Linked DNA regions of Kluyveromyces lactis. The protein of the gene in region 3 binds, or shares a complex with, the protein of the main gene of each other region. Links are inferred from orthologs where the notes say so. Each region holds a gene or a part of one and is shown on either strand. Other genes may lie near its edges. The genes, in order: NUP188, NUP82, NUP145, NUP120, SEH1, NUP2 and MLP2.

What was found.
Region 1: NUP145 (region 3) and NUP188 share a complex: the UniProt entries of both Saccharomyces cerevisiae proteins name them as parts of the nuclear pore complex. The link is inferred for Kluyveromyces lactis from reciprocal best matches to the Saccharomyces cerevisiae genes NUP145 and NUP188.
Region 2: NUP145 (region 3) and NUP82 share a complex: the UniProt entries of both Saccharomyces cerevisiae proteins name them as parts of the nuclear pore complex. The link is inferred for Kluyveromyces lactis from reciprocal best matches to the Saccharomyces cerevisiae genes NUP145 and NUP82.
Region 4: NUP145 (region 3) and NUP120 share a complex: the UniProt entries of both Saccharomyces cerevisiae proteins name them as parts of the nuclear pore complex. The link is inferred for Kluyveromyces lactis from reciprocal best matches to the Saccharomyces cerevisiae genes NUP145 and NUP120.
Region 5: NUP145 (region 3) and SEH1 share a complex: the UniProt entries of both Saccharomyces cerevisiae proteins name them as parts of the nuclear pore complex. The link is inferred for Kluyveromyces lactis from reciprocal best matches to the Saccharomyces cerevisiae genes NUP145 and SEH1.
Region 6: NUP145 (region 3) and NUP2 share a complex: the UniProt entries of both Saccharomyces cerevisiae proteins name them as parts of the nuclear pore complex. The link is inferred for Kluyveromyces lactis from reciprocal best matches to the Saccharomyces cerevisiae genes NUP145 and NUP2.
Region 7: NUP145 (region 3) and MLP2 share a complex: the UniProt entries of both Saccharomyces cerevisiae proteins name them as parts of the nuclear pore complex. The link is inferred for Kluyveromyces lactis from reciprocal best matches to the Saccharomyces cerevisiae genes NUP145 and MLP1.

What each region holds. Positions count from the first base shown.
Region 1 is NC_006041.1:968,912-972,488, forward strand, and holds the end of NUP188 (Nup188p), read right to left. Parts: coding exon 1,088-3,577; downstream 1-1,087. Other genes in the region: U6 snRNP complex subunit PRP24, read left to right, coding at 1-1,061. UniProt on the Saccharomyces cerevisiae protein: Functions as a component of the nuclear pore complex (NPC).
Region 2 is NC_006042.1:155,651-160,664, reverse strand, and holds NUP82 (linker nucleoporin NUP82), read left to right. Parts: upstream 1-1,992; coding exon 1,993-4,056; downstream 4,057-5,014. Other genes in the region: mannose-ethanolamine phosphotransferase LAS21, read left to right, coding at 1-1,196; MRPL37 (mitochondrial 54S ribosomal protein mL54), read left to right, coding at 1,402-1,698; SDH8 (Sdh8p), read right to left, coding at 4,203-4,598. UniProt on the Saccharomyces cerevisiae protein: Functions as a component of the nuclear pore complex (NPC).
Region 3 is NC_006041.1:1,685,500-1,690,765, forward strand, and holds the start of NUP145 (nucleocytoplasmic transporter NUP145), read left to right. Parts: upstream 1-2,047; coding exon 2,048-5,266. Other genes in the region: kinetochore-microtubule binding complex subunit SPC105, read left to right, coding at 1-1,717. UniProt on the Saccharomyces cerevisiae protein: Functions as a component of the nuclear pore complex (NPC).
Region 4 is NC_006039.1:1,080,189-1,085,222, forward strand, and holds NUP120 (Nup120p), read left to right. Parts: upstream 1-1,799; coding exon 1,800-4,829; downstream 4,830-5,034. Other genes in the region: FAR8 (Far8p), read left to right, coding at 1-1,415; TAP42 (Tap42p), read right to left, coding at 4,856-5,034. UniProt on the Saccharomyces cerevisiae protein: Functions as a component of the nuclear pore complex (NPC).
Region 5 is NC_006042.1:649,556-653,273, reverse strand, and holds SEH1 (Seh1p), read left to right. Parts: upstream 1-1,764; coding exon 1,765-2,799; downstream 2,800-3,718. Other genes in the region: ALG7 (UDP-N-acetylglucosamine--dolichyl-phosphate N-acetylglucosaminephosphotransferase), read right to left, coding at 130-1,473; glutathione peroxidase GPX2, read left to right, coding at 3,520-3,718. UniProt on the Saccharomyces cerevisiae protein: Functions as a component of the nuclear pore complex (NPC).
Region 6 is NC_006038.1:545,144-550,040, reverse strand, and holds NUP2 (nucleoporin NUP2), read left to right. Parts: upstream 1-1,781; coding exon 1,782-3,767; downstream 3,768-4,897. Other genes in the region: RPS25A (40S ribosomal protein eS25), read right to left, coding at 1-246; SGD1 (Sgd1p), read right to left, coding at 3,867-4,897. UniProt on the Saccharomyces cerevisiae protein: Functions as a component of the nuclear pore complex (NPC).
Region 7 is NC_006037.1:52,375-56,377, forward strand, and holds the end of MLP2 (Mlp2p), read right to left. Parts: coding exon 930-4,003; downstream 1-929. Other genes in the region: MCM10 (Mcm10p), read right to left, coding at 1-536, 620-707. UniProt on the Saccharomyces cerevisiae protein: Together with the closely related MLP2, involved in the structural and functional organization of perinuclear chromatin. Together with MLP2, associates with the nuclear pore complex and form filamentous structures along the nuclear periphery.

The DNA.
Region 1 (3,577 bases), about 720 kb from region 3:
GGATTGAATTTAGTTCCTATGATCAAGCCCTAACAGCAGTGAGCAGGACTTTGAAAAAGATTGGCTTCCATCAGATAACTGTCGAACAGCTAACAGATTCTACGATTTGGGTCACCAATTTTCCACCTGGGTATGATGCCAGCAAGCTTCGAAATTTACTATCGCAGTACATTGATTCACCAATTTTGAGTATTAGATTGCCGTCCTTAGCGTTCAATTCAAGAAGAAGATTTGCATATGTTGATTTAGTTTCTCCAGAAGTGGCAAAGAAAGCTACAAATAGGCTCAATGGGATAGAGATCAACAATTATAAATTAGTAGCGAAAATATCGAATGTCAACGAACGAACTGAAAGGACTGACAATGCCATATCGGATGGTAGAGAGATAATAGTTAAGAACCTTCCAGATGATATTACCATCGATGATTTGATAAAGATGTTCAATGAGTTTGGTGATACAGAAAAAGCTAGAATAGTAACTGGTGATGAAACAAACCCTGGACGACATTCCAGATATGCGTTCATAACATTCAAAAACAAAGCGAGTGCAGATAATGCTTTGTCATTAAATGGAGCGGTAATGAACGGTAAGCCATTACACGTTTCAAAAGTTATGAGAAAGGCTTATCTAGAAAGACAAGAGGTGAAGCGTCTGCTTGCTTCCAGAAAAGAAAACCCAAAAGTTGTCGGAATATACCCATTGTCTGATCAGATTACCCCAGATCAAATTCTTGCTTTCATTACGGAGAAAGCTCAAATTAGACCTCCGGATATTACGAAGGTTTTGCTGGTCTCTGATCATGAAGGTGCTTTAATAATAGCGGACAAAGAAGCAATTACCGCAAAAGTTTCACTTGCAATCAATGGATACAAGTTCAAGAACCGAATTTTGAAATGTGTTTCTGCTCATGAACTTTCCCTTCATTATCCCAATGAACACAAAACAACCTTGAATCAACCAAAGCACGCTGTTGTAAAGGAAATTAAATCACAGCAAGCGTCACAAAATGACAAAAAGTTGAGCAATGATGACTTCAGAAAATTATTTCTATCTAAATAATATTAATACTATATAAACCTACCTGTTTATAAATCTGACATCAAGGATGATTGAAGTTCTGAGATTTGCTTGGTGATAGAATGTAGAAGCTGATTTCTATAGACCTCATCTTCCATCATCTTTTGTTTGTCTGGGGTTGTCGCGATGATCCGAGAATTCATATACTTTGGGTGAGTTAACAAATGTTTCAATACATTTGCCAAATCGTTTCTCTCAGAGCTAGTGTCTAAACCAGGGAACAACTCTATTATCTCTTCTTCGTCAATGACCTTCAATTTGGAACCATTAACAGACAAATAACGCTGATATTCAAGTTTATCTAGCATTTTCTGCAAAAGAATTATCTGGGAAGTCTCCTGGATATATGCTTGAGTTATGGACAGTGAGTCAGACGACCAGCCCCCCACAGCAAGATCTATTTGTTTGGAGAAATATGAAACAAATAGACACACTTCCGAAAGTATTCCAGATCCGAATTTACTTAATAGTTGAAGAATAATCGATATGATGCCATTGGACCATATGTTATGCAATCTTGGTGATAATTCTGGGCGAGCCCCAGATTGTTGAATTGACACCGAAATCGGACTTTCCAAGAACACAGAGAAGAGCCCGTTATCTATAATCTTTTGTGCAACTTCTTCAATTGTGACAAGCTCAGAAATGAATGACAGGGTTAGCTCCGCGAATAAGGGTTCATCATGAGATCTGAAAAGATATGAACTGTAGTAAAGATTCAAAAGTGATTTTAAGGTTCCAAATTCATTTAGCGAGGATGCCAATACAGCGTTAAAGGATGTCGAAGGGTTCAGTTCTTTGATTTTTGTGAAAAGGGATAGTAATAGTAACAAATCTTGAATTTTGTCGGCAAGATTTGGCACAATAACTTTTTTACCTTTGTTGGAGGCTATTGTGAATGAGAATAATATAGAAGACAAGATCAAATTAACACCTTTTGAAAAAGCTAACTCGAAGACTTCCAATAGACTATCAGAATATCTTTCTGAAAACATAGGGTAAGGTTTTGCCAAAGTTAACAACATCAAAATCGAACGAAGAATAGGTCTATATTGATTATTCTTATTCGATTGTGCGATATTTCCGAGGTAATCTACCTCTTTAGACTTTAAAATTGCCAAAAGCTGTGACAATAGAGTTTCAAGCTTATCCTCAGGTATCTTCATAGAAGTTTGTAAGAATGAATACAGTATGTAAAACACCAATTCGATTCTTAGGAGGTATATTTCAGAGAAGATAGGTGCCTCCACACCATGCTCAACATTTAGTGCGAGTAGTTGGGTAACAATATCGACATATGAAGCTTGTAAAGGCTTTGGAGTTTTCTTAATGAATGCGGTCAAAAGAGCTCCCCATGATTTTGCTGCTGAAATTTGGAAAGACACATATTGTAAGTTGATAGAGCTTTTTATAACTTGTTCTCTAAACCCTGGAGTGGACCCGTTCCCTCTCCATTTTTCTTCACAACAGAAGAACTGATCAAGAAGTTCAATGTCATATATGTTCGCCTGGTACGCCTTACCGATTCTATAAAGTGGTGAAATAGCGAATTTTTCTATATCCAGATGAGGCCAAATCTTTTTGAATTCCTCTGCGAGAGTCAAATGAAGAGTTTTATCATATCCGTCTATAGAAAATATCCTCTTAACGATATCAACAAGTTGGGGTCCATTTAACATGTTTGTTATGGTGGAATCTGAAGGTGAAGAGGTGAATAGATGAAGGGCAAATATTTCAGCAATCCTCGCTTGAAGACGATAGTGACTGGATAATTTAATCGTCGCCTCAACCGAATCGGGAGCCAACTTGTCCTCGAACTTTTCTAGCCTTTTGACGAGAAAATCTATAAATTCTTTATCTGCTGTATTATTCCTTGCAGCAGCCCAAGAGTTGAATGCATATGAGATTGCTTCAAGAAGTCGAGAAGCCACAGATTCCGGGTAGCAATCTAGCTTCAAGACATTTTTCTTAAGGAGAGAAAGAATTGATGTTTCAGAGGCGCTATTCGATGGTTCTGATTTTTTTGGGGAAGAGCCAACGGATATGGTTTCGCCAGTAACTAAAAGAATAGAGAAACCATCCTGCTTTCCTTCCATAACGGAAGAAAAGAATCTGTATAAACTCTTCAGAAATTGATAATCATCGATTGTACTTGCGAGGTCGTACAAGATCGAATTGAAAATCATCTTGGAGTGTTTTTGGCCCAGATACGATAAAAGAGATGGGAAGTTTTCGGCCCAAGGGGCTCTCACAAGGTGCGTCATGAGTTTGATTATTGGATTTCTTAAATCATTGTGTAAGGCGTAAATGTCAATTAACTTCGGCAAGTTGCCATATATTTGTGATTCCAGAGTGCTGGGAGGTAATTGTAACATTGCACGGACGGAGATTAAAAGGTTTGCTAATTCATAAGACTTCAGCAAACATTGGTTGTACTTATTGTAAAAGACTTCATTTCCGATAGAGAGTGCTTCCAATGAGTTGCTGGATAATAGAAC
Region 2 (5,014 bases), on a different chromosome or scaffold from region 3:
CAATGGCTGCTACAAATTACAATTACACTTTCTTAACTTATGGTACTACTCTCATGATAATTGGAACGCTCATAGTCACGGTATGGAATTTCCAACTAAGTCAGGAATATATTGAACATGTTGGTACTTCGGTGCTATTAGGAATAAGCATGTTTGCAAGTAGTTTTATTGAAGAAGAACATCAAATATGGTGGTGGATCACGATATCCGTACTTCTACTGATGCAAATATCGAACGGGAAAAAACTGGTTGTGCTATCTGGATTAAGGCTGATTCGTGGTTGGAACAATAGTGGCCAAAAATATATATACGACAATGTTCTACACACTCTTTTAAAATCACATACATCAGTCCTATGGTGGTTAAATGTAGTGACTTTCTTGTCCGTGGGTTTCCCATTTTTGAGAAACAAAGACGAATCAGAGAAAATGGTATCATTACTCTCCGTGTCCTTTTTGGCCTTGTCCTCGATAACTTACAAAATATGCTTTGCTATTGTTAACGGGGATAAAGTCCCAAGCGGTCTATACACATTCGCACTTAGATCATGCGCCATGTATCTAGCTAATGAAAATGCTACAGAATCAGATATTTCACAATGTTTAGTGCCTATCGCTCGGATTTTCTTCCAAATATGTGGTGTATCTATTATAATCCTTCTTTTCATGAAATACGCCTTGAATAAAAGCACCAATATGTTAAACAAACTACTGAGTGTTATAAAATTCGTCTTGTTGCTCCAAACTTCATCTGCAAATATCCCATTGTTTCTAATATTTGAAATACTGACTAGCGTCACACCGGACATCACACCAATTTTCTCATTATGTCTACAAAACCTCACTTTTTTCCAATTTGGTGGTACGAACTCCATTGCAACTGTCAATCTAACTAATGCATACAATGGTGTTAGTAGCAACTATAACATATACGTTGTTGGTGTATTAATGTTCTTGTCTAACTACGCACCATCCATCTACTGGGCTCTCTCACTAATTCCTCAAAGCTACAAACAGAAGACACTACGCTTGCAGCATTACTATATCACCGGAACATGTCTAATGATAGCGTGCATTGCACTAAGGTACCACCTATTCATTTGGTCCGTGTTTAGCCCGAAACTATGCTACTACGCGGCCTGGTCCCTCTATAATGTCGTCATGGATTTCGCCATTACCCTGCTTGGCGTTTTGTGAATTCTTAGTTTTTGAATGAAAAATTTCGATAAAATCAACATTTTGTACCATAGAAATTCAAATTGGACTGTAAATGATCATGAACTTTGATAGCCGCAAGGCAGGACAAACTTGCCAAAACTTATTGTTGAGGTTCGAATTGGTATCGGCAACCACATACCCACCATAACAAATCGGTTATTTTTCATATTATATAAAGAGAGAAATGTTGAGAGTGACTCGCGTGCTATTTAACCAAGTGAAAAGCGAGGCATCTGGCCAAGCTGCCAAGATCGTGTCATCATGTCCAGCTGGCACTCCATTGAACTTACAAATCAAGAAATCCGGTAAGGAACCCGTGGCATTAGAAGACAGCGAATACCCTGAATGGCTCTGGACAGTGCTTGATGCCAACGTCCAAGCTGAAAAACTAGCAGCTGATCCAATCAAGCTAAGAAAAAAACAATTAAGGATAGCCAACCGTGCCAACATCAAACAAAATAACTTCTTAGCAAAGATTTAACGGACCCACAGTATGATTCACGCCTGTAAATATATATACATATAAAAATGACATAAAGACACATATCTAACATAACTTTTTGATATCTTTCGTACACTTCCTTTTCTGCAATACTGGATCTGCTATAGGTATTTTTTTTTTTTTACTATTAAAGTTCAAAATATTCAAAATATATCGACGATGAACTACTCTCACGCTTCTTGAAATACACGTAACACAGATCAACTGGCGATCTAACTGTGGTACCTTCTCTTCCATAACTTTAACTGCCGGATATTGAACCAATATAGTGGGATGTTACTCTTCAATACAGAAGATTTGAAGGCAATCTTCCAGGAAGTGTCTCTGAACCCTTCCGACCGTCTTGTCTGCAACAATTCCAACACTATTTATTTATGGCAGGACAACATCTTAAGAGTGCAATCAGACCACGAAACGCAATACAGGAGTTATAATGTGGAGCTTCCATTCGTTCCAGAACAAATGGTCATCAGTCCGTCGGGGGGCCTTGTAGCATTTCATGCGAACAGCGAGCTCTATGTCATGGAAGTGAATGAGCAATCTAGATTAAGAAAGCATTTCAATACCAGTCTAGGGATAAAAAAACTATTATGGCATCCTCTGGCTACTTATGGGTTATCTTTCGTTATTTTGCATGATGATAGTACAATTCGAATTTATGATCTTGAAGACCTAGAACCCGAATCTATCACTGTTTTCAATCGTAAATCGAGATCATTTGGGTTATCAGACCATGTGGAATCAGTTTGTGACATTGCATTTGATCCAACCGGTTTGACACTTTATCTGCTGAGCTCCTTCAATTACTGTGACATATATGCTATCCATCCGTGTCTACCAAAGAATTTTTCCCTACGCAGTAATGATACATCAAATGTCACATCAAGGACGAAAAATGGTTCTTTAGCGGATTACATGTTGCACAAATCATTGTCTTTATACAATAGCCTCGATAAACAGCTAAAGCTGATATCAGGTTCAGATCCTGATGTGGAATCCGATTACCTCACCTTAAAGCATGATCTATTGAAACAAATTCAATTTTTCGACAACTATAAAAAAAATGATGGTATAGACACATTCACGAGCAAAGCAATCAGGAACTCTGTACCACAGGGCCCGTTCATTATAAAAAAATTTCCGACAGCTTTGAATGCGAAAGAGGTCACAGGCTTGACAATCATACCGGTTGGAGAACGTTTGGGCCTTTTGAATCTTCAATTTATAGATGGAACAAACGTTGTGTTGTTCTCCGATTCTGAAATTGTCATGAGTTGGAGTTTACGCTCCAATACTACATTCAATAACCTTAGTGTAATAACAATGTTCAATGCAAAAGGTCAATGCCAACTACTAAACTCCTCGGAACCTAAATTAGTATTTACTGGTGATAGCTCCACGACTATCATGGAAATGCCATGGTTGGAACCATTGGCACAGTGCATAAGGCTTCATGACTTCTCTATCATTGATGATGTTAAGTTTGAAAATAAAATAAGAACAGTTTCAGGAACTTTCCTCGGTGTTTTATCTACCTTGTCTGGTGATATTCTTTACAACGGCAATTCCTTCAAGGTCATCGAGAGTAACGACAAGAGCACCACACAGAAACCCATAAACAGAACCGATGAAGTGAAATATACATATAAACCATCGTTGCCAACGTCTGGAAAGGAATTGGATATGCTTTTGACGAAGTATAAAACAGAAGCCAATGGATTCATTTCAGGCATACCGGACTCTTTGGCTCCTCTCCCTTTGAAGAACAATTCCAATGAACGTCAATTGGAAGTGGTTTCTGAACTTTACAAGGAAACCATGAAGCGCGTCAAGTTGGGACAGATGATTTTATTTAGAATGTTCAACAAATCCAACGAAGAAGTGGCTGAACTCCATCGCCAATTAAGAAAAACCAACGAGATCGAAATGTTGAGAAATAAACTTAACGGAAACTTGGGAGACCTCCAAGAAAGATATTCCAGGTATGAGGAAAAGTCCAAGACGTTGGAAAAACGACTTGACAAGTTAAAAGAGACATTCTCCAGTATAGAAAATAACGAGAAATTAAGAACAAGCAGTATCAGCGAGGCCGAACTAGTGTGGTTCAAAAGTATCAAAAACCAGGTATTAAAGTTCAATAACTATGTACATCTGACAAACAAACTTCGCGAAGAACTAGAGTTTTTGGACACACAGCTTAGATCAACTACTAAAGGAGACGATTTCTTTTCCGAGCTAGAATTTAGTTCCCTACAACAAATGTTACTGAACGACAAAAAGGTCATCAATTCTTGTATGAATGAGTTAAGCGCATCCATTGAAGATCTAGCGGTATAATAGCAATCACCATCTACATATCTTTTTTTTTTCGTTTTTAGTTTTAAAACTGGCATATACCTTACTATATTATGTGCTACTTTTTATATCATTTCATTATGTGAATATGCTACTAACCGAATTTTGTTTTAACGTGTGAATGGCGCTCAAAAATCGGTGACTCTTCCGTTGAAAGAATAATCACCATGCCTTAATGGATCCTGCTTTGGTCCACCAATTTCTCCTGTTTTAGGATTCTTTTCGCCTTCGAACTCTGGTATAGTCTTCATAAATTCTGGAGAAAACCCACCAATATCGTTCTTCAAGATTGGCGATTTCACCGATTCCATAGTATGATCCGATTCAAACTGTGCATTATAAGAATCAATAGCTTCTTGAGAAGACGCTAGCTTCTGCAGCCTTTCAAACTCTTCCTGGTCTTCCTTTGGTAATGGTGGTGGACCTGCTCTTCTTTCTTGAAATGTTCTAATTTGATTCAACCTGACAAAGGCTGGTCTTAGACCGACTAATCTTACACTTTGTTTTCTTATACTGGAAAGCATGTAGGTTGTATGTTATAGCGGTACCTTGTTGAGAGATGATCTGCAAACGAAGTCTAAAAGAAATTATCAATATAGATGAATGCCATTTACGCAGACAGATATATATTGTAAAGATGATATATGTATGAAGAATGAAATATCATCGCTTTAAATCGGGGTGAGAGGATAATTCGGTAGTCATCGGTGAAAAGAAAGAAGACAGGATGATAAATTAAAAGTCATGTGACTGAAATAGAATATTACCCGGGAAAACACAGAAAACTGTGGCGTCTAGACAAAAGAAATATGATTCACGTGACTGATGAGCAAGAACCTAGAAGGGAACCCAGGATATGACAAGAGACACAGTGTTGCAGGTATTCAGGTTTATATCGCACCGGTTTTCCAATCATTCGTGATCGATTTGAAAGCGAGGT
Region 3 (5,266 bases):
GGAAACAATGGAATTTACAAACGTGCAGGCTCCTCTGGAGATGCGAGAGTCACAGATAGTTTCTTCAACTCAACTAGAACCAACTCAACTCCCGCAGTCAAAAAGAAGGAAATTATCTAACGGTGGTTATCAGTCTCCGGTCAAATTGCAGGTACCAGTGCAAGTGCAAGAGACCCCTGAACAAAAAGAGAATATAGATGCGGAGCTCACAGAGATGGAACGATTATCGCCAATTCCGTTGGCAACAAATTCTTTACCAAAACCAAAAAATGTCGGCTCTCCCATACTATCCAAAACAAGTAAACATGTTCTATCAGACACTCAAAGTCAATCGGGACCAATCTCCTTGCAGACATTTTTTGATGCTGCTAATATAAAATTCAACGTTGATACCCAAATAAACGAATTTCAAATCGATCTTAAGAGTACGAATAACATCGAACATGTCCCATCTAATATAATATACCAAGCGTTATATTGTAAGATTCCAATATTAGAGATTCAAGCTTTCACCGCAAAAGAACTAACCCGAAGAATTCTACAATCAAGGAATCTCTTAAAGAGTCTTCGAGAGCAGATTGCATCCAACGAACCCCCCAGGTTGATAAAAGAGTATTTTGAGGCAGATACTGATACCCGTTATGCTATTAACGAAAAGTTAGAATTAGTAACCATAATGGCTAGATTACAATCTGAAAAAGTCTGGTTTGAGTGGAGATCACAACATTTGAAAGGAATTAAAACAGTCCTGGAAGAAAATATAGCTATCTTGGTGGATGAAAATGCCCAGATCATGAAATACATGAATGAAATAAATGACGTGAAAATAAGAGTTAGTGACATCAAACAGGTGTTAATGAAAGAACTTGATGTTCTTCGGCAGCACAACGATGTTTTTAGTAACAAGAAAGAGAACATAACGACTCTCCTGAAAGTGAACAAATTGAAAGGAGACTTGAGGGAGAACATGCTAAAGGTGTCAGACTTGAACCAGCTGACCACTAAAAAAGATCAACTTACCCAAAAAATACAAGATGCAAAATTGGAGATGAGTAAAGTGAACGAAGAGATTGCTCAACTTCGACAGGACTTGAAACAAAGCAAAGTTTGCACAGAATATGATGTGGCAAAGCTTAAACTAGTCCATCAGCTTTACCAAAGCATTTCTGGTATAAAGTTCAGAAAGTTAGTTGGTCCAGTCCTATCTGTATCATTACATGACGACAAAGTTATTGTGACAGCTGATCTTTCAAAAATTGATCAACCGTCATGTATTTCATTCAGTATTAGAGAAGAACGAATAGACCAATTTGAAAGAGAATTTATAAACTGTTGGATCAACTCTTGCCAGCGAACCTTCATAAATGGACTACAGTGCATATCAAGTTTGCAACGTCAACTGATAGATCTTTCAATTGTCATTTCAGAATTCAAAAAATTAAAACTCGTATTCCCGGCAACCGTCAATGCCCCATCACAGAATTCTCAGATCAAATATGTCACATTCCAGCATTTGGACTATAAATATCATTGCAAAGTAGCCCTTTCTTTGCCTATGGAAAGGTTTATTGATTTGATATGTCACTCTAAAAATGCGACCATCAATGTTAATATTATCTATGGCGAAGAAAAAACAGCAAGAAATCTAACGTCTAATCTCATAAAGAAATATGAAAAGGTATTTAAATGGCTCTCCAATTGTAATATAGCTCTTTGATATGGATATCCGAGCTTTTGTAGCGCAAGTTTTAGGCATTACGCAGTATATAGTTTCGTACGATATTTCTTTAAATTTCTCTCGAATGGCAATATTCCAAAAAATTGTTATTCTATAACATTTAAACAGTAAGATGAGTGTAAACAAAACACCTTTTGAACTCTAACAAGTGCACTACTTGGCTATCATTGATCGCAGAGCTTCTAAAAACCAATTCCATAGCTGGTGTTCATTGCTGCAGACGAAATTTCTCAGTTTTTTGTTACTGCTGTCATTTTTGAATCTGTACAGTTTAAACATCATCATCATAAATTCAACAACAAGTTGATTATGTTTGGTAATAACAAAGCGCCTGGTTCGTTATTCGGCAACGCGAACACCTCAACACCTACAACTTCTACACCAGCGAACAATGGGGTTTTGAATGGAAAACCCAATACTGGCACATTGTTTAGTGCTAATACACTCTCCACGCCGAGCCCTGGAAACCCAACAGGATTTGGCAATGCTCAGAACAACAACAACAAGCCTGGGTTGAATCTTTTTGGAAACAACAATGCTTCCCAGAATACACCACAGACGAATTCTCTATTCCAGCCTAATAACGCCGCTGCATCAACGCCCAACACATCATTATTTTCTGGCCCAGGGTCGAATGCCCAGCAGAACAATGGTGCTGGCAAGCTATTCGGAAATTCTGGTGGACAACAGACAGCTACTGGTATCTCATTCGGAAATAACCCCAGTGCGACAACAAACAATACGTTCCAATCAAACGGATTAAATACGCAACAGAGTGGTGGTTTATTTGGTAATAAATCAAACAATGGTGGGTCACTTTTCGGAAATACTCCATCGCAAACTAATAGTCTATTTTCTAATAATACCACGAACACGGCGTCAACAGTCCCAAAGACTTCACTGTTTGGAAATTCATCAACACAAGGTTCAGGGAGCTTATTCTCGTCCAGCAAACCAACTACAAATTCAACAGGCTTGTTCAATGTTTCTCAACTACAACAGCCACAGCAACCTGGCCAACCCCCAACGAACAACCCATACGGTTTGCAATTAAGTCCAAATCCTGTGCTGTCAATGCCAGAATCTATTACTACATCCCTGAGTAACGAGAGAAAGCCTGTCTCAGACTCGAAACAAAATAGAAAATTTTCAACTGCATCATCAGTGATCAGCAACAATATATTACCTCCCACAGGCAATTCAACACTGATAGGGAAGCTAACTTCAAGACTTAAGAATTTGAAGAGCAGAGAAACAACACATGGTTTGTTCTCCCCATCAAATAAAAACTTAGCCCAACAGGATACTTTCTCGGCACTTTCAAGAGATGAGAGTAAGGAAAAAGGGAAGAATATTAACAATAAGACAAACTCACTGGCTTCTTATTTTAACCAGGACGTTTCAAGCATGAAAAAATTAACCATTGATACAGACAGAAGCGCTGCCAAAAAGATGAAACTCTTTAACGGTCACTCTTCCGCTACCATAATGAAAGATATGGACGAGAAAGATCATAAGATTAGTATACCAAGGAATGATAAACTTCTTTTTTCAGCACATCCTTCAGAAACTAGTCCAACAGAGCCAACTTCGGAAGTCTGTCTGGATGAAGAACACAAAATAACGAATAAAGCAACTGACTATTGGTGCTCACCTACTATCGAACAATTAGAGCAACTTACGGAAAACCAGCTCACGGTTGTGCCCAATTTTGTGATTGGTCGCAAAAACTTTGGTTCCATCAGTTTTGACTATGAAGTTGACTTAACTGCATTTATGGATGATTTTGAAGAACTATTCGGAAGAACAATAATTTTTAATGAGAATAGAACCGTGGAAGTCTATCCTGATACCGAAAATAAACCGGATGTTGGTTATGGTGTCAATGTACCTGCTACAATAACTTTGGAAAATGTTTATCCGATCGATAAAAAAACAAAAGAACCCATTAAAGACAACTCGAAAATTGCTGAAGTTCAATATTTTGTCAAGCGTTTAAGGAATATGAAAGAAATGGAATTCATTTCATATAACCCATTTGGTGGAATTTGGACTTTTAGAGTTAAACATTTCAGTGTTTGGGGAATGGTCAATGAAGAAGATATGGAGGTGGATGCTGAAGAAGCAGAAAGAATAAACGCCGAGGAAATAAGAGACAGACCTCTGGCCTTTCCCAAGCGTCGCCACAGTGTGAAGAAGTCTAGCACGTCCCTTGAAGCGGAGGTACCAAGCAATGCAGACCTCACAGCAGCAGAGGCTCTTGCAATGGAGAAAGAAGTACTAGATTTGGTTCCAGTACTATCCGACTCTGTTGACCAAGACATGTCACTTATTATCAAGGAAAAACCTTACGAACCTTCTGATTTAGACGAAGATGATTTGAATATCCTCGAGGCTGCACCTAAACTTGTTACATCATCGAACTGGTTGCAACAATTACAATTAGCAGGTACTTCCAAACAGTCTGTGTATTCCAAGCCACTTTTACTCAAAAACACGCAAGGTAATTCTTTGGACGATATCTTGTTCCCTTCATTTAAGAAAGATTTATTGACATACCAATCTGTTAAAAGAGAAAGAAGAATCAACTCACATATGTGGTTTGCGAAGTTTAATATTAACGGGCAATTATTGCTCAAAGATCCATCACAGTTGTCAGGCTGTAAGCAGATCGTGTTTCAGTCCAACTTGCCAATAAATAAATCTTCTTTTGACAATGTGTTCGCCTCTTATCTGAACACATCCATAGTCAACTCCAGACCAAATGGTTATCCTCTTGTTGGGAAATGTTCCTTACAGTTCGATAATCTTGCTTCTGCATATTCTGATGTCCCAAATGAAGACAAAATATTGAAGTTAGCATCCATTTTGTTTGATCCTCTTTCCCTTCCATACGCTGTCAATTCCCCAGAAGTTGAAAAAGTTCTTATTAAAAAACAACGGCATGCAAAGCTCTGTGGATGGATAGTCGATGAAACAAGGGCTGAGATTGATTCTATGCTATCCACTGCTTCTGATATTCAGAAAATACTTCTTTTCCTCTCTGTCAACGACATTGTAAATGCTTCAAAGACGGCTATAATTTCCAAAAACAAACATTTATCTGTTTTGATAACGTTACTGGGGTCCAATGATCCAATTGTTCGTGAAATCGCGCAACTACAGTTAACTAAATGGAAATCTTTAGGCTCTATAGTGGATCCAACAGTCATTAGTATCTATCAACTACTCACTGGCAATCCTTTCGCTTCTACTGCGTTGGTAAATGAGAGTAACAAGTTTTCGCGGTTAGTGAATTTAGGTTTACAAGTATATTATGGAGATATCGATTCATTGACTCTAGAAGATTTGATTATGAATGCTATATCAAATCCATTTGTTGATACATCGTCTGTTTCAACTTTTGAAAACTTGTCAATGAATATTATGAAGTTATTTGCTTGCCCAACTATCCCAGTTGAGCAACTTTTAGATGAATTGAGATCGCATTCGGAGATATTCGATGTTCGGCTCTGTTGGTTCTTTACG
Region 4 (5,034 bases), on a different chromosome or scaffold from region 3:
TGCCGCTAGAATCATGGGAGCAAGAGGAAGAACTGTTACATTCAAAACTATCGGTGCAAGAAAACATTAAAGAAATAGTGTACCTTTTGAAAAGCCCGCCAGTAACAGATCAGTTGGAATCATTGAATGATAAAGATGATTCGGTGAAAAAATTAGAATCCTTGAATTTGTTTAATGTCAACAACTCTAGCATTCTCAAGAATGGTACTGATAATAGAACCGAAGTTAAAAACGAACATAAAATAAGTAATTCGCAAGTTGACGACGGGGATCTTATCATCAATGATAAAGAGGCCAATAGTACCAGCAGTGATGTCCCAAATATCACTCTAAACAGGGATTGGAAAGATGTCATAAATTCACCCCCAGGAGATGACGTTTCTGATGCCGAAACTGTAATAAACACAAGGCGATCAAGATCATCGTCCTTGTTCTCAACACAATCCAATGAGATGCTCAAATTCCATACTTATCGTTTCTTACAGTATCATTTATCTTCAATTAGCAAATTGAAGCTTCTCGGAAACAACATGCTATCTTTTGGCTCAGATGGTTTACTAAAGCACTGGCTCATTGAACCTAGTTTGAACTCTAATGAAAAGGCAACCAAGGCGTTTCACTGTGTGCCTAACCTCTTGGGTATTTTTTGGTTGAATAAAACAAGGTTTATGACTGTGGATGAAACTTCCGTCAAGTTGTGGAACGTAAGCCAGAGCGACCCTGTCATATCTTGGGATGGCCTCAAGGATTTAGAAGGCTTACAATCTGTAGATTTCAAAAATAAATGGCTAATTTTGACTTTCGTTAACGAGATACGGGTCTGGGAAATTAAAATCGATGACTCCAGTATCGTTAAGGTTAATGAATTCGTCATTTCAGTCCCCAATAAGATTCTCAATTGTTTGTTGGGATTAACGGAAAAATCGCTTATAATATTAAATGGTAGTTCAAAACAAAACGTAAAGATTTCTATCTTCGACTTTCAAGGCTCCCTTTTACAACAAATCGATCTTTCTCATTCGCTGACCCAATTCCATCACACAAATAATGAATTAGCATTGAACAGGTCGACATCAAAATTGCTTGTGAGATTCGATACAGAAACTCTGATTTACTCTTTCGATCAGAAGAAGACCATTTTAGTGTCTTCTACCGCAGAATCTGCTATTTCCTCGATTTTCCTCAATGATTTGGAGTACACTGTCACCGCTTTGAAGGATGGTTCAATACTCGTGAAGTCAATCAAAGAAGATGGTAAAGTAATTAGAAAATACAATCATTATGAACACCCTGAGAAGGTTCCCGCTGAAGTGCAACCAATTGCCATTGCATCCACAGTCATAGATGATACCCCTGTAATCGTTTCTGGTGGCTATAACGGTGTGATACGACTAGAAAAAATTATGAGCTTATGAACGCAATGCTATAGTAATCAAAGCTGCCGCTATAATTCAAAGAGAAATATAGGAAAATAATCTATAATGCTCATGTAAAACAGTACAAGACGAACGTCATCGTCTATAGACATGGTATCCCCAGAGTACCTATATAATCCTCCTCACAACATGGAAATTATTGCCCAAGCGACCTTAAAATTCAGTTATAAGTTACCCGGATAATATTGTTTTCATGGTTACAACAACAATGAGAAAAGACATGTTGAAATCAATCTGACATGAAGTGGAATCGGTAAACAGAAGAGAACAGCCACCAGAGAACTTCAATTACAGGCTAAATCGGAACATAAACCTACAACATTACTATTGAACAGCTGAGAGGTAAAGCTGAAACTGCGAAAAATGACCAGCTTTTCTCGTCTGAATACAAATTTACTACAATTAAAATCGAAGCACTCATCAGACAATGCCCAACATTTATACGTCAATGGGAATGTTGGATCATCTACAGAAGAAATAACTTCCGTAGAGTACAGCAAACTGTTGCAACTAAAATTAATTGATGAATCGTTGTCCTTCCAATGGTGTAATAATTACACTGTTTTGAGTATTTACTCCATGAAGGAAACTTTTGCAAGGAAAACCATATATATCCACTTTCCAAAACCTCTTCTGAACAAATGGTTTACTGCAGTCGTATACGAATCTAGTGAAACGACCTCCAACCTATGTTTTGATGTGATTTTAAAGGATGGAATTTTCATCAACCTTTCATTGCCTATCGATTTTATTCTATCGAGAACTCGTCAAAATGAGTATCCTGAGAATTGGTTGAAGGTTTTAAACCCGTATGATTTCTCAGTACGTCCTCCACAGTGTCTATTTCATGTTGATAACACCTTCAGTGTAGTATTTCTAAAAGATGGTGGTCTTTTGGGGTTAAAACGTATTCCGCTCGAAATATTAAACGATTTTGAATTGCAACCTGTCCTATTCAATGATAGTTCATACTTTCAAAGTTTTACAAGAATGTTTTCAAAGTACGATAACCACAACTCTGCAGTGGTATCTGCAGAACTTTTGAATGACAAGTATCTTGTCACATTAACGAATGATGCAACCATTAAAATCTGGGATTTAACCACATATCAACTAAATGCGCATTTCGATCTAAAAGAGAAAAACCAGCAGGTGAATTATGGAGCTGCCGGAAAATACATGATAATTTGTGGATCTCTCCTGTTTGTATACCTACCTGCAGGTAATGGATCGTTCCAAGTCATTCAATTAGAAAATACGCATTCTTCAAGAATCTCCTTCAAACCATTAAACGTTAATATACCTCTCAATCTTTCATCTTATTCAATATGGTCTTTAATTGACATTCAATTAGTAAAATCCTCAATTGTCAAACAATCGGGACTCAACTTGGTTTTATTATGGAAAAGTAACACAGTGACCAAGCTACAACTACTCTCCTTCGAAGACTCTCTGTATAGTAGCTACAAATGGATTGATGGTAACAGCACATACCTCTCTGATTTGCTTGATGACTCAGACCTAATAACAAACGGAAATATGGAAAAGGCTCTCCTCAATCTCAAGTCACACTACTCACAATCAACGTACGATGACGCACAAAAGATACTGAATAAAAATAATGTCATGGTGCAGATAAATGATCCTCATAATCAAGATTATTTGAATAATCTAGAAGCTCTTTTGAAAGAACTTCATAAACAATATCAGGAGCCTTCAACTCTAACTATTCTTGATGATGAGATAATTGTTGTTAACAGCTTACACATGTATCATCATTCCACGTATAAGTTAGACTCACAACTTGAAACAATTTTCTTTAACATTTTTGAGAGAAAGGAACCCTCGTCTCAACTAGAGCTTTTCTTAAATATCCTGCATGGTTTTTCAACAACCATTACATCTGAAACGTTAAATAAGATATCTGAGAAGTTCTTAGACATGGTAAATGGTTCAATAAATCCCTCGTTATCATTGAAAAATAAAATTACCATTGTCTTTCAAGATTGTCTAACAAATGGTTTCCAAAGTGCTAATTTATCAAAATTGTTGGAAAATCTAAATTCTATTGATGTGGTGGAGGTTTTATCCGAATTTATACACTGTGATTTGAAAGTAGGTGCTTTTTCAGTTATTGATTTATTAGATACTGACATTTTCTTATCTGTTTTGTCTATGGAATCCTTGAAGCAGACACTCTCCATTATGGATAAGTTTATCATTGATATATTGTTAGTATTCACTATTGTGGATATCAACTATGAAGTTTTTGCAGAGAAGTTGTCTAAGTTAATTACCTTGCACTTCAATATCTCATTGTGGCTCCAAGTGTATCAAATAGATAAATTATTGGCAATTTCTGAGACCTTCGGTCATGTTACTAAATACAATTATGGTGCACAATTGAAATCTTACAGCGATATAACCGACTTTACTACATTAATGGTTGGTTTTGTCAAGAATTCTCCAACAGCTGAACCTCCAATATTTACAAGAGCCTTTTCCGATTTCATATTGAACGGCGAAGATTTGACTTGTGCAAAGCAATTCCTACACTTTGTTGCTAAGCCTTACCATGTGTCCAAGGATCCAGTAGAAGAACTACTATATGCTCTTTCTTTGTTCAAATGCAATGAATATGATGCATCTATTGAAATATTCTTGGCAAATGACTTCTCTGATGAGCTCTCACTACCTAAATATCTGGAGGTTACTGAAAATCACGTTTGGTACAATCTCCTTCATGCGATCAATACAAAAGATAAACCAGCATACTATTATGAACTTTCAGTTCTATGTTCCAAAGCTTCATCGTATGCTAATGCTTTAAAAACCATCAAAAAATCTATATCACTTGATGGTACAAGAGCAGATCAGTTGATACAATACTTAGATACATTGATAGTATTTGGCGATTATAAAGAAGTCCTGGATGTATTGAGGTTGGAACAAAAAGTCCTTGATATAAGCCTAAGAGAAAAATACTATTATACACTGCTGAGTGATCAAAAGTACAGTGAAATGTTCACTGCAACTTTACTCCAAGAATGCTACAATGCAAACATTTCCAACGGATCCATACTATTATGTGTGAGTGATTATAAAATTATAGCTTCAATTTTATCATCACAAGTTTCTCTCACTGATTGGAACAGCTATAAAAAGTTGTTCTCTTTCAGAATACTAAATCAACATGAAAGGAAAGCGTGCGAGGAACTATATGACTATGTACTCTTCGGATCGAACGACGAGGTTAAAGAAAAGTGCCTACTTCTAATATCCAATGTCTTAAAGACATTTTCAGATGCTAAGGACCAATGGTTCATCAGCTATCCAGGACAAATTATTCATTTACATGAATTGAATGACAAAATGAATAAGTGTTCAAAGTAGATAAACATATATATTGAAAGCTTTGTTTAACCTCTATTCATTGTATTTCCGCTTCCTTTAGGATTGGATTCGGTGAAGTCATCCCATGCTCTTGCTTTATATGTAGCAAGATCATTGGATTCAAAGTCATCCTCATCAGGTTCTTCTTCTACGGGTTCTGCCCCACCTTGAAGGACCCTGTTCTCTTCAAATTCTTTTGCCAAAA
Region 5 (3,718 bases), on a different chromosome or scaffold from region 3:
AAAACCAACGCAAATAAAAAAAATGAGGTATAATATGATGGGGTCTTTTCCTTTCATCTATCTGATCTATAAGTAGGGAGAAACTGTCTTCATTTCTATCGATACAGCTTTCTTGGATATTTAACAACACTAAACGATGTTCCATAAATTATCGTTCCCGAATAATAGTGATCCAATTAAATGTCTTAGACATATCGCAGATATTCCAATAATGAATTGCAGCGCGAGTATAGAGTAACATAGCTTATCTTCCCTCATAGGCCCAAACCACACAATCATTAAATTGATTAACGTCATATTACTGCAATCTAAAATTGTATTTGTTTTGGGATCGATGTTCAAATCGATTAATCGCAATTTGTGCAAAAGTCTCAATATCGGTTGCATTACTGGCTTCGGTTTTTCTTTTATAAGATCTGCTCGTGATGTGTACATTAGCCAATCACTCTCGTTAAATTTCGGTAGTCTATGCCTTGGGCAAGGCACCAATCCGAATATTTGTGGAGCTGAATAGATGAAATTGAAGATTTGTGGTAGAAAGAATAGTAACGTAGTCTTCGAGAAGTGTCCAAGAATACCGACTACAGCGAAAACCATACCAGCGAAGTAACAGTAAGTATCACCGACAAATACTTTTGCAGGCCAGCGGTTCCATTTGAACAATGCTAGTGAGACTCCGAGGAATGGGACGATCAATAAAAGTGAGAATAGGTGTGATTCACGAGCATGTCCGTTCACACCCATAGTTAAATACAACACATCATTAATCATAAATATTAGGCCTAGGACAATGCTCTGCCCAACTTCAAGTCCATTGACACCAGCCAATATATTAATTGAATTTGGACAGAAAATGGCGACCGAAGCCATATAGCAGTAATAGAAAGCGCCTAAATCAATGGATGTCTTGCTTGTACCAATTAACTCTTGTACAAACTTAGGGATCAAAACATGGGTAACGCTAAAATCAACATAGTAGACTACAAGTAATGGAATCGCAGCAATTGCTGGTAGGAAGAATTTATGTCTCCAGCGAAGATCAAACAAATCGTCAGCAGCACCTAGTAATATCGTGGATTCAAGACATAAAAGTGCACTTAAAAATTCACTTAACTTACTATGTGGGAATAGCTGTTCCTCCGTCGATTCTTGAGAAACCAGATCTCTATTTCCACCTCCAGAGGTTATCACCAAATATTTGTAAAACATGAAAGGAATCGAAAAGAACATGATAAACAAATACACTGTAGCAGATACAGATCCAATTGTTTCTGGAATCACTGGCCTACCAGGTTTACTCATATCTTTGCCAAATAAACCAATCTTGATGAAGGAATCACCTACTTGTGGGATCAATACATCAACTGCCACGTAGCCAATTACAGAAAACCCTACTGCAGATCCGATAGGAGATACATCTTTAAAATATACAATTATTGCAATAGCAAACAGTAGCAAAAAATAAGAAAGCATGGTTCATTCCCTGAGCTGGTACTGGCTATATATAAAGCTTCAGTAAGCACTTTTTTAGCTTAGCATTTAAAATGCCAAGCGCTTTCTTAAATTATTGTGTTTTGATTTTCGATATATATGAATCCTTTAAACATTGAACTTCGAACTTTTCGAAAACGAAAGCTAAAAGTTGCATGATAGAGGGAAAGAGAGTTGAGCTGAGTTGAGAGATATCTACACTTCACGGCTTTGAAGGTTGAAGTTATTCTATCGACCAATCTAGTGGTAAATCCGATAAAATCTTTTATCATCATGAAACCGTTTTTGACAGGACACTCAGACCTAGTGCACGATATTAGTTATGACTTTTACGGTCGTCGAGTCGCAACATGTTCCAGCGACCAACATATCAAGGTGTTCAAGCTAGACAAGGAAACGAATGAGTGGGAATTGAGCGAAAGTTGGAAGGCTCACGATAGCAGTATTGTGTCTCTTGATTGGGCCGCACCAGAATTTGGTCGTATCATCGCGAGTGTCTCATACGATAAGACTATCAAACTATGGGAGGAGGATCCAGATGCCCTTGAGTTATCCGGAAAGCGTTGGCAAAAACTTTGTACGTTGAACGATGCGACAGGACCGTTGTTCAGCGTAAAATTTGCTCCATCGCATTTGGGACTAAGGCTAGCTGCATTGGGGAATGATGGTAAGTTACGTCTTTATGATGCGTTAGAGTCTTCCGATCTTAGGTCATGGACCCTGACAAGCGAGATTACCGTCTTAAATACTCCACCTGCATCACATCTACAATCGGATTTTTGTCTGTCCTGGTGTCCCTCCAGATTTTCAACAGAAAGATTAGTTATCAGTGCCATGGATCAGGCAACTATCTACCAAAGAAACAAACAGGGAAAATTGGTCCCAGCAGGACATTTGAAGGGTCACACTGGATTAATCAGATCCATTGCGTGGGCACCATCAGTGGGCAGGTGGTACCAATTGATCGCTACGGGCTGCAAAGATGGGAAATTAAGAATATTCAAAGTAACCGAATCGCGTAACAACGGTACGAATATTATAAACGAAGAAAACGATAACAATGCAAACATAGAACGTGATGGCCCACCCATTGACAGCTCCGCCATTGATGCAGATGGATCAGTGGCTAACCTTCACGTCGAGCTGATCAGCGAACATTCAGACCATCAGGGCGAGGTATGGTCCGTATCTTGGAATCTCACAGGTACAATCCTAAGTAGTACCGGAGATGATGGTAAGATTCGGTTATGGAAAGCATCTTACTCGAACGAGTTCAGGTGTATGAGTGTGGTACAAGCGGCAAGGTGATTTATGTATATATCCCTTCATAATGTGATGTTAAAATGTATGTAATTATTGACCACGTGACCAGATATCATCAAGGGTTCGAGATTCAATCTAAACACTGACAAATAGAAACCTTATAGCTAAAAGGTACGCCACATTGGTGGTTTAAAGCCGTCTTCTCACCTGCTTGGAGTTTATCATGTACCGATCAATTCTAAGTTCTAAGCCCCAAATTGCACACATCCAGCCGTTGCTTTGTAATCACATGAAATACATTGCATCAGAAACGAACATTTCCGCATGCTTTGACACATAGCAATAAACACTGACAGTTTACTAATCTATAAATCTTATAGGATGCAGATATACCCGGTGTCATCATAAAATCTTATATGATATACCTACAGTACTGTTATAACGCCGTTACCAGAATGTACAGTTCTTCATCGTCCGGCCGATAAATCTGTCGTTCCGTTGCTGTTCCTGATTGTTGGTTCCGTTCCTTAGCACTTCTGCTTTCTAATATTCTTTGTAATAGAGAATTAAACAGGGAAAAAAAAAATGATTCTATATAAACAAGACCGATATTTCAATACAGAAATAATATAACTTTTGTCCACCTAAAATCGTTTCTGATTGATATTGGTGTTAATATTTTGGTATATACTGTTGAATAAGCTATAGCTATATCCAATATTCAAAATATTTTCATATATTAAAAGAACAGCAGCAATTACCAAGATGTCTAAGTTTTACGAATTAGCACCAAAGGACAAAAAGGGCGAACCATTCCCATTCACTCAGCTAGAAGGTAAAGTTGTTTTAATTGTCAACGTTGCTTCCAAGTGCGGGTTCACTCCTCAATATAAGGAACTAGAAGCTTTGTACAAGAAGTACGAGGATAAAGGGTTCATTGTGTTGGGTTTCCCATGTAACCAGT
Region 6 (4,897 bases), on a different chromosome or scaffold from region 3:
GTGTCTCAAAGCAACTCTGGCCAAGGAACCACCCAACTTGAATCTGTCAACCAACACAGAGACGGAAACGTATCTGTAGGTTGGAGCTTCCTTCATAATTCTGTCGAATTTATCTTGGTCCAAGACAACAGCGTGCTTAGCCTTGTCCTTGTGGGACTTCTTAGACCACTTCTTCTTGGACTTCTTACCACCAGCCATGGCAGCGGCGGCCTTAGCGGCTTTGGACAATTGTTGTTTTGGAGGCATATTTCTGCGGAAAAGGGAACGTTAAGTTCGGTATTGTTAGTAAAAAATTGATTCTTTATGAAGAGGGGTGTAGTGAGAAGTAGCACATCACTTAGTAAATTTGTCGCAAGTCCGACTAATGACGAGAGAATTTTTCTGATAGATAGCTTGTCAATTTGAATGAATCCTTACTTTCCAGCAAATTCACCCAAATTATAGAATCTGGTTTCCTAAGAAATATTTGCTGGCAGTTCCATTGGGCTATATCACCAAATAACAAAAAGCTGCATTATTCAGTACACTTTTAATCCTGATGCCATAGTACGATGATCAATACAATGTTGGAGAGAAAATTATCAATCCGTCCACAAAATATCTCTGGTAAATGTTGTTTCAGTATAACTGGTGTTGTTTCATTTGTCATCACTATCAATAAATTAACATTAGAACCTCTTCCTGATTCATATATCTATCTTATTCTTGTATAATCCTCGATATCAGACCTCGTGCTGGTTTTATTTTGTTATCTCTTTCATCGTAATCCCAAAAGTGCTATTCCAAATAAGTAACCACTGCTAGTACACGGCACATACGTTCAAATTCCCTTAGCTGGTTTCTTCTTGAATGAACTCAAAAGTAAATAACCCTATAATAATCAAGGTGCTACTTTAAACAACTTGTTAATATCTCTAAGTTGCAATTCAATGTAAATCAAAAAATGAATATTCAATCCGAAGTGAGTTTGTCCAGGACGCAAAGTATTCCTCTTCCTACCGGAGAAGCAGAGAAAGTGAAGCAGGATAACGAGGATTGCGACAAATGGACTCATTTTGGAAAGGAGATAATTTCCTCTTTAGGAAGGAAATAACGCATGAGAAAATATACAAAGTTCAACTTTCGGATATATAACGTGGTGTCTGGATCCAACAAAACAGTCCCGTAATACAACATTAAAAATAAGAGCGCTATAAAACAGATGTTTCATCTGATAGATTAGCAAGTTTTACACCAACAAGTCCTACATGGTGTTACGGCCATCGTACTTGCCACCTGCGTCAACTAATGAGGTAAGAAATCATTGCACGTGTGTCGGTTATAACGGTGGCTATTGCAAATAATCCCTGAAAGCATAACAACGTTTTATATTCCGATATAGTGTAACGGCTATCACACCACGCTCTCACCGTGGAGACCCGGGTTCGACTCCCGGTATCGGAGGAGAAAGCGATTCGAAAGTTTCGCTAAATACTTTTTACATTTTTACTCCCCTGAGCAACCCATCACAAGCAGAATAACATGTAGTCACGTGTTCAGCATAAGTCATCCCACACGAGTCAACAGTATATTGAAGGATTTAGAATTTCGAGCTGCTTTATTATTATTTCTGGTGTTAGTATCATCAATTCTCATGTTGATGTCTGAATGCTTACACATCAGCAATCCTTAAACTCCTTTTCTGCTACTTCCGGTTGCTTCCCGTTAGTTCAATTCGTTTCTGATTAAGAAAGTGACTTCTCTTGAGCTGATCTTTCCAAGCACAATACTCACTGTAGGATATGTCAAAGAGATTTGCGGGTTCTCAGATGACCAGAGAAGGTCTTGAGAACGGACATAGTAATAATGTTTCAGATGACGAGACTCCATTTGATAAACCTGCCGTTGCCAGCGAATCTGTAATGAGTACCAGAAAAATTGCAATGCCAAAGAGGAAAATGGGAGGATTTACTGCGGGTGATAAACCTAACATGTTCAAAGTGATAAAGGATGACAAGAAACCTCAAGGCACTGACTTAAACGAAAAACTCACGGCATTGAACGTGCAATTCAAAAATAAAATAAATTCTACATTGGAATCAGATCCAGTTGCTGATATTTCTTTCCTGTTCGATAAATACAAGACCTATTCGCAACAGTTAAGGTCAGAAGCGAAAACTAATGGCGCTGCAAACGCTCCTCCAACTAGCTCATTCACATTTGGTACCACATCAGCAAATGTGGAGAAACCTAAAAATCCATTTGCATTCGCAAAGCCTAGCGCAGCACCATCATTTGCTCTACCTTCGGAGGTGACTAAACCGACAACGACCGTAACGGAAGAGAGACTGCAAGATAAAAAAGAACAAATTGAGATTAACAGCGATAGTGATTCTGAAGAGGAAAAACCAGCCGTTAATGTTGAAGGCCCAAAGTTTGTCTTGGCTAAGAAACCAACGACGTCTGATCCGCCTTTCAGCTTCGGTGGGAATAAGCGTAAGGAACCTGACAGCGATAGCGACAGCGAGATAGAGATCAAGGGACCCCAATTTACGTTTAATGGGACTGTATCGTCCAGTGCCTTTACTTTACCAAAGAATGATGCTTCAAGGACAGAGGAATCTGAACCAGCTGAAAAACCAACGGATAACAAGCCAGCTAGTATATTTGGGAACTCTTCACAATCTAAACCAACATTCCCTCCTTCTGCGTCCGCACCATCCATAGAGAAAAATGAGGGAAGCAAACCAGCTCTTCCTGCCTTTGGGTCAAATAAGGCTGATAATGGTAATTCATCATCTCCGTTCTCATTTTCTTTCAGCAACAATAAAGATTTGGCCAAAGAAAGTGAAAATAAAAAGGAAGAAGCAAAGCCAGCTAGCACCTTCGGTACATTCTCTGCCCCTGCTCCATCGGCGGACTCTAAACCATCGTTTAGCTTCTCTGCTCCAGTGCAAAGGACAGCAACTGAAAACAAAGATTCATCAAAGCCTTCCTTTACATTTGGAGCTATGGGCAAGGAAAACAGTAATGATGAAGCTAAAAAGCCTTCTTTCACATTCGGTACCTCAACAACCTCTGAAAAACCGGCTGAGTCATCTAAACCTTCATTTACATTTGGTAAAGCTTCAACAGGCTCCACTCCTTTCACTTTTGGAAAACAGGAGACCGACAAAAAAGATGAGAAAAAACCTACGTTTACGTTTGGGGCAACAGCAGCATCAACTGTACCAGCATTCAGTTTTGGTGCCAACAAATCTGAAGAGGCGCCTCCACAAGGTGAATCATCTGGCTTCAAGATCTCTTTACCCTTTGCCTCATCTGCTCCAACATCTGATAAGGATACTGCCAAGGAAGTTAGTGAAAAAAACAGCGAAGACGCATCTGCTGAGGCACAAGAAGAGCCATCTAAAACTTTGAATCTATCGAACGGTGAGGAGAATGAGAATCTACTCTTTTCGCAACGCGCCAAGCTAATGATTTTCAATACTGAGACGAAAGCCTATGATTCCCGTGGTGTAGGTGAATTGAAGGTTTTGCAAAACAAGGAAGACAATACAAAAGCAAGAATACTTTGTAGGTCAGACGGTATGGGTCATATTTTGCTAAATACTAGTATTATAAAGTCATTTTCCTATGAAGCATTAGATCCAAATAATGAGAATTTGGTTAAGTGTCCTGCAATTAAAGCGGAAGGAGGGTTAGACACATACGTCGTAAAAGTGAAACAAAAGGCTGATGGTAGAAAATTAGTACAAGCGATCAAGGATGCTCAATCACCGATGTAAAATTAAGTACATTTAACTGTTAATTAATAGAACTATTTGAACTTAGTTCATATATGCATGTGTAACTATTAAAATGGCAAAAAAAAGTACTTAAAATAGTCAATCTTCAGCACCTTTGAGCTCCTCTTCTATCAGTTTTTTGAAAGATGCAACTGCCCAAGACAGTCTTCTACTTTCTCTATCATGTTCTTTTGAGCCTTTCATACCTGAAATATACTTGATATAATCAAAATGCTTAGATATAAACCATCTTAGCGCTTTTAAAATAACATTCTTATTCTGAATGTTAATACCTTTCTCGATCAAAGAAGACAAACCATCAGAGTTATACTCAAATGTTTTCTTTCCATCTCGTTTGATCTTTATTTCGGCTGCCTTACCTTCGGAAAGGAACAACTGGAAAAGCAAAATATCAAAGAAGATTATTCCATCTGAGTTGAGTCCTGCCATTAACGGAACATGCTTGAAAGCATCAAGTTTCAAGTGACCTTCTGCTATTAAATGGCCAAAGAATCGGCCTTGCTTAGCCAATCTTTGTAATCTAGTGTCTTCATCAACAGTGTCTTCATTGCTGAACAAGGTATCTTCCTCATCATCTGAATGTGTCTCAAGCTCGAACTTCTTCACAATTTCCCAGAATAAAAACTGGAAAGACTTTAAAAGTTTGTGGTTATGCTCTGAGAGTTTTCCTGCTAATAATGAATAATATGGATTGTATCCGGACGATGTGCCATCGTTTGACAAGCAATGTAGCAGCACCCGTGAAATATCAAGACTCTGTTTACTCTTCAAGTTCAGCTTTTCTATCTTAGCGAATGCATCCAAATAATCCTCTGCAGACATTATGCTAACGAATATAGCTCTTCTCACATCAGTGTTCATCCTCTGTTGTTTCGCTATCTCATTCCAATCAATCATTTCAGAGAGTAAATCATCATCCAATTTTATATTTGTTTGATTAGCAATCGTTCTGTCTTCTTTGACATTAGCCTCATCGAAAGCAGTTTCTTGATTACCCTTCCATGATGCTCCAATTAACCACCACTTACCTTTAGAATCCACGTTTTTTATATCTTCTAGAGAAGCCAGCAAAGGCTCCGAAGATGCCGAAGTTGAGATGCGAAGTGATC
Region 7 (4,003 bases), on a different chromosome or scaffold from region 3:
AGGTTCAGAGAACTTAGGGGCTCTCACCTTACTGAAGAGCTTTGGAAGTCGAAGCACTTTTATGTTTTTAGTATGTTTCCTAAGTACGGCCAACGGTACATACCTTCTGTCTATAACCAGACCACTCAAATCATCTTTTTCATCAACAGTAATTGGTTCATATTCATCGAACATGTCGCCATTGAATGTGTAAACTCGATGTGCCAATAATTCTTTCTTCCTTTTAATCGCTTCATGTTCATTTGTATTGATGGAGCGAAGTTTTTCAGTAAAGTAAGAAGTGGTACCCAACTTTTTGACCTTTTCCCTTACATAATCCTCATTAACATTAAATGTAGCTTCCTCTATATCTGCTACTGGCGCAATATGTTTGATATCCTCTATTCCTTTTGTAGCATTATCTGATTTCTTAGGAGACTCTGGAACGTCGATAGAATCGAAATTAGGGTCTTTGAGGTTTCTCTTCTTCTCTAGTTCCAACAGCCGGTTAGTTAAATCTCGTTTCTCAGTGTCAATTTCAACAATTCTTCGTTTCACTTTGATTTAATGATTGGTTATAATATGTTAGTAGGATATTCTAATGTCATTGATCTCGGTAACCATTATTATTAGAACATACCTCTTTCGATTTCAGATTCATCATCAGATAATTCCTCGTACGGGTCGAACGCCGTAATTTCTCTCGGGTCAGTTAGATCATATGACATGATGCATCTTCACTGTTACCTATACTCGATAGCTTCTGTAACTATTCTCGTTCATTCTTTACTTGTGGGATGTCATTATTTTGTTTTCTCGTTTGAATATCTGTGGAAAGTAATACTAGTATTTTTTACATGTTGAAAACGAATGGTCAAATAATGATACATAATAGAAAAAAATTAAATAGAACTTCGGTAATATTAACAGCCATAAAATCGTCTGGAGAATCAGGCTTCCTGACCATCCTCAGTATCACTTTCAGGCTCTTTGTGACGTTTCTCAGGCTGTTCTGTTGCGGTGTCGTCTATGGGTCTCTTATTAGGAGAAATTTCTGACGTTGAGAAGGGACTAGTGAATGTTGAATGAGAGCCAAATACAGGGGCCTGGAATGCTGCACTCATATTAGAAGTGTCATTCTCTACAGGTTTAATTGTGGACTTTTGTTGTTCTAAATTCCTGATCTTGCTTTCCAAAAATTTCAATTTCAAGGAAACTTGCTGTTTCCCTTCTTCGAAAGATTTTTGTTTTATTTCTGCCAAATCTGCTTCAAATTGCTTACGCATGGAATCCTTAAGTGCATTCAATTCTGCACGATGCTTTTCTAGAGTAATGGCATCATTTCCGATCTCTCCTGCCAATTTTTGGGCCTTTTCGTTTACCTTTTCTTCAAAGGACTCTTCTAAAACAGCTTTTCTTGCCTCAACTATTTTATCAATCTTTTGTTGAGTAGGTAACCTGATCCGTTTCTTGAGGGCTTCTTCTGCTAATTTAATTTTTTCCAGAGTCTGCTTCTCATATTCTTTTTCCCATTCATTCTTCAAAGCATCGATGTCTATATCCAAGGTAGGCTGCGAAGGAGACTGGACAGTAGTCTTTTCGCACTCTTCACGAATTCTCTTTTCTCTTTCTTCAAACTGTTTCCGGAGCTCTTCCTCTCTGGAATTCCAAGCAGATTCTTTTTCTGCCTCAAACTTGCTCCTCAATTCTTTTTCTTTATCTTTTATTAATTGTTCTTTTTCAGCTTCAAATTCTGTTTTCAAATTATCCACTATTGACTTCGTGTCTTCGTTGATAACTGGCGTATGATGTTCAGCTACTATTTTTTGAGCGTTGGAGGCTTCGGCTTCAAGCTCCTGTATTTTACTATTTAACATTTCCACAGTCTCAGTCAACGATTTTATTTTTTCATCTGAATCTGCATTATTCTGTTCGGTCTTGGAAGCATTTTCCATTTGAACCTGAATAGAATGTAGATCTTCCTGCAATTTAGATAATTGAGAGTTAAAAGTCTGTTCCTTTGTTTCTGCTTCTTGCGTTACCACTTGTAATCTTTCTTCTAACTCTTTGCAAGCGGTCTTACATTTTCCTAAATCGGCCTCCACTTGAGATTTAGCTTCATTGATTTGGTTTATTTCTGATGATAAAGATTGTTCCTTTTCCTTGGAGGCATTCAATCTATCACGTGCTTGAAGCCTAATTCTTTGGAACTTCGATTCCCAGTCATCTTTCTCGGCAATGACGCTTTGCAAAGTATCCTTGGTAGTTTGCAGTTCATTTTTAACATCGTTAATTTCCTCCTTTAGTTTACCATGTTCTTCAGGATCAATACGTTCATATTTATGTAAGATATCTTGAGAACGGCTTTTCCACCGTTCTGCTTCTTCTTTCGATTGAATGAGTTCCTGTTCTTTAATTTTGATACCATTTTGCAAAGAGGAAATGGACGACTGTAGTGGCGCCAGCCTATCATTACATTCTTGCAATTGCGACTTTAGATTGTCACATTCTTTCTTGAATGAACTATTTTCAGATCTTAGTGTAACGTTACTTTCTCTTAACAAGTGCAGTTGGTCAAGTTCTTTCATTATATTTTCTTGCTGCTCTAGCAAATGAGCGCTTTCACTGGAACTATTCTTAACTTGAGATAATTGAGTATTCAAATCTTCAATTTCTGATTTTGCTATATCAAGGCGTTGTTTTAGAACCGTTTGCTCGCTCAATGCAACTTCTAGTTTAGTTTCTAGCATGTCTCTTTCACGGCGCAAGCTGATTAACAAGTCACTTGAATCATGAGAGTTGTCACGATCTTCAGTCTTGTTTAGCAATTCAATTTGGTCGTACAGGAGCTTATTTTGGGTTGATAGTTCTTGGACTCGTTGCTCCAAAACGGACAGTTTATCTTCGTACTCAGTCTTCTGTTCATTCCATAATTTTTCGCTATTCTTCAAGTTCTCCATAGCCAGTTGGGATTGGGTTTTAAGTGTCTCTAGATCAGATTTATAGCTTTGCGCCTCAGTTCTTAGGGACGTAATAGTTTTAGAGACATCTGCATGCTTTTGCAATTCAAGTTCGTAGCTCCGTTGACTCTCATTTGCATATTGCGTTTGCATTTCTAGATCTTTCTGAATCATTGCAATTTTTTCTTCGTAGTCAGCCTTAGTTCGATCCACAGATTCTTTCACCATCTGAAGCTTACTGATTTCTTCCATTGTTGCGTTCCTCTCAGTTTGGTATTCTGATTTTTGATGGAAAATTTCGTTATTCAGGTCTTTCACCTGATCGTTGAGAATATTGACAGTACTCTGTAATTGATTTCTTTCGTTTTCTAGAGTGATTATTGTCTTCTGAGATTCCTTCTGGGCCTCTTCAAAGGCCTGGCTTACTTCATTAACGGATTGCACGGACTGTTCCGCCAGAGTTTTATGATGCTCTATTTGTGAATATGAATCAGAAAGTTGCAAGTTAACCTTTTCCAATTCCTGTCTCAAAGTCTCAACTAGGTTTTGAGCATCATCGACATTACTTAACATCGTATATGATTGTGCCCGTGCCTCGGCCTCCTTGAGTTTTGCGGATTGTTCATTGATAGTGGATTGCATTTTCTGAAGTTGAGCTTCTTTTTCTTCTAAGGTCGTTTTCTGTTGAGCTGCCTCACTAGTTAACTTATCAATCTTTTCTTGAAACCAATTATATTGATGCTCTTTATTGCTAGCAATTCCTGTGGTGTTTTTTTCAATTTCTTCAAGGCGTTCGAGTGAACCAGACAACTCAATTTCCAATTTTCTAAGCTTTTCCTTATAAGAATTCTGAGTTTCCTTGAGTAACATTTCTCTCTCACGTTGGAGTGTCTGAAGTTGCGCAATTAACACCTTGTATTCGACACTTTCTTTGGAAAATCTTTCGTTCTCTGCCTTCAGTTCCTTTTGAACCTTTGCCATAAACTGTTTTTCAGACTTCAAGATGGATAGTTCCGATTGTATAGATGACAAAGTGGATTTCGTTTTGATTAAGGAATCTACAG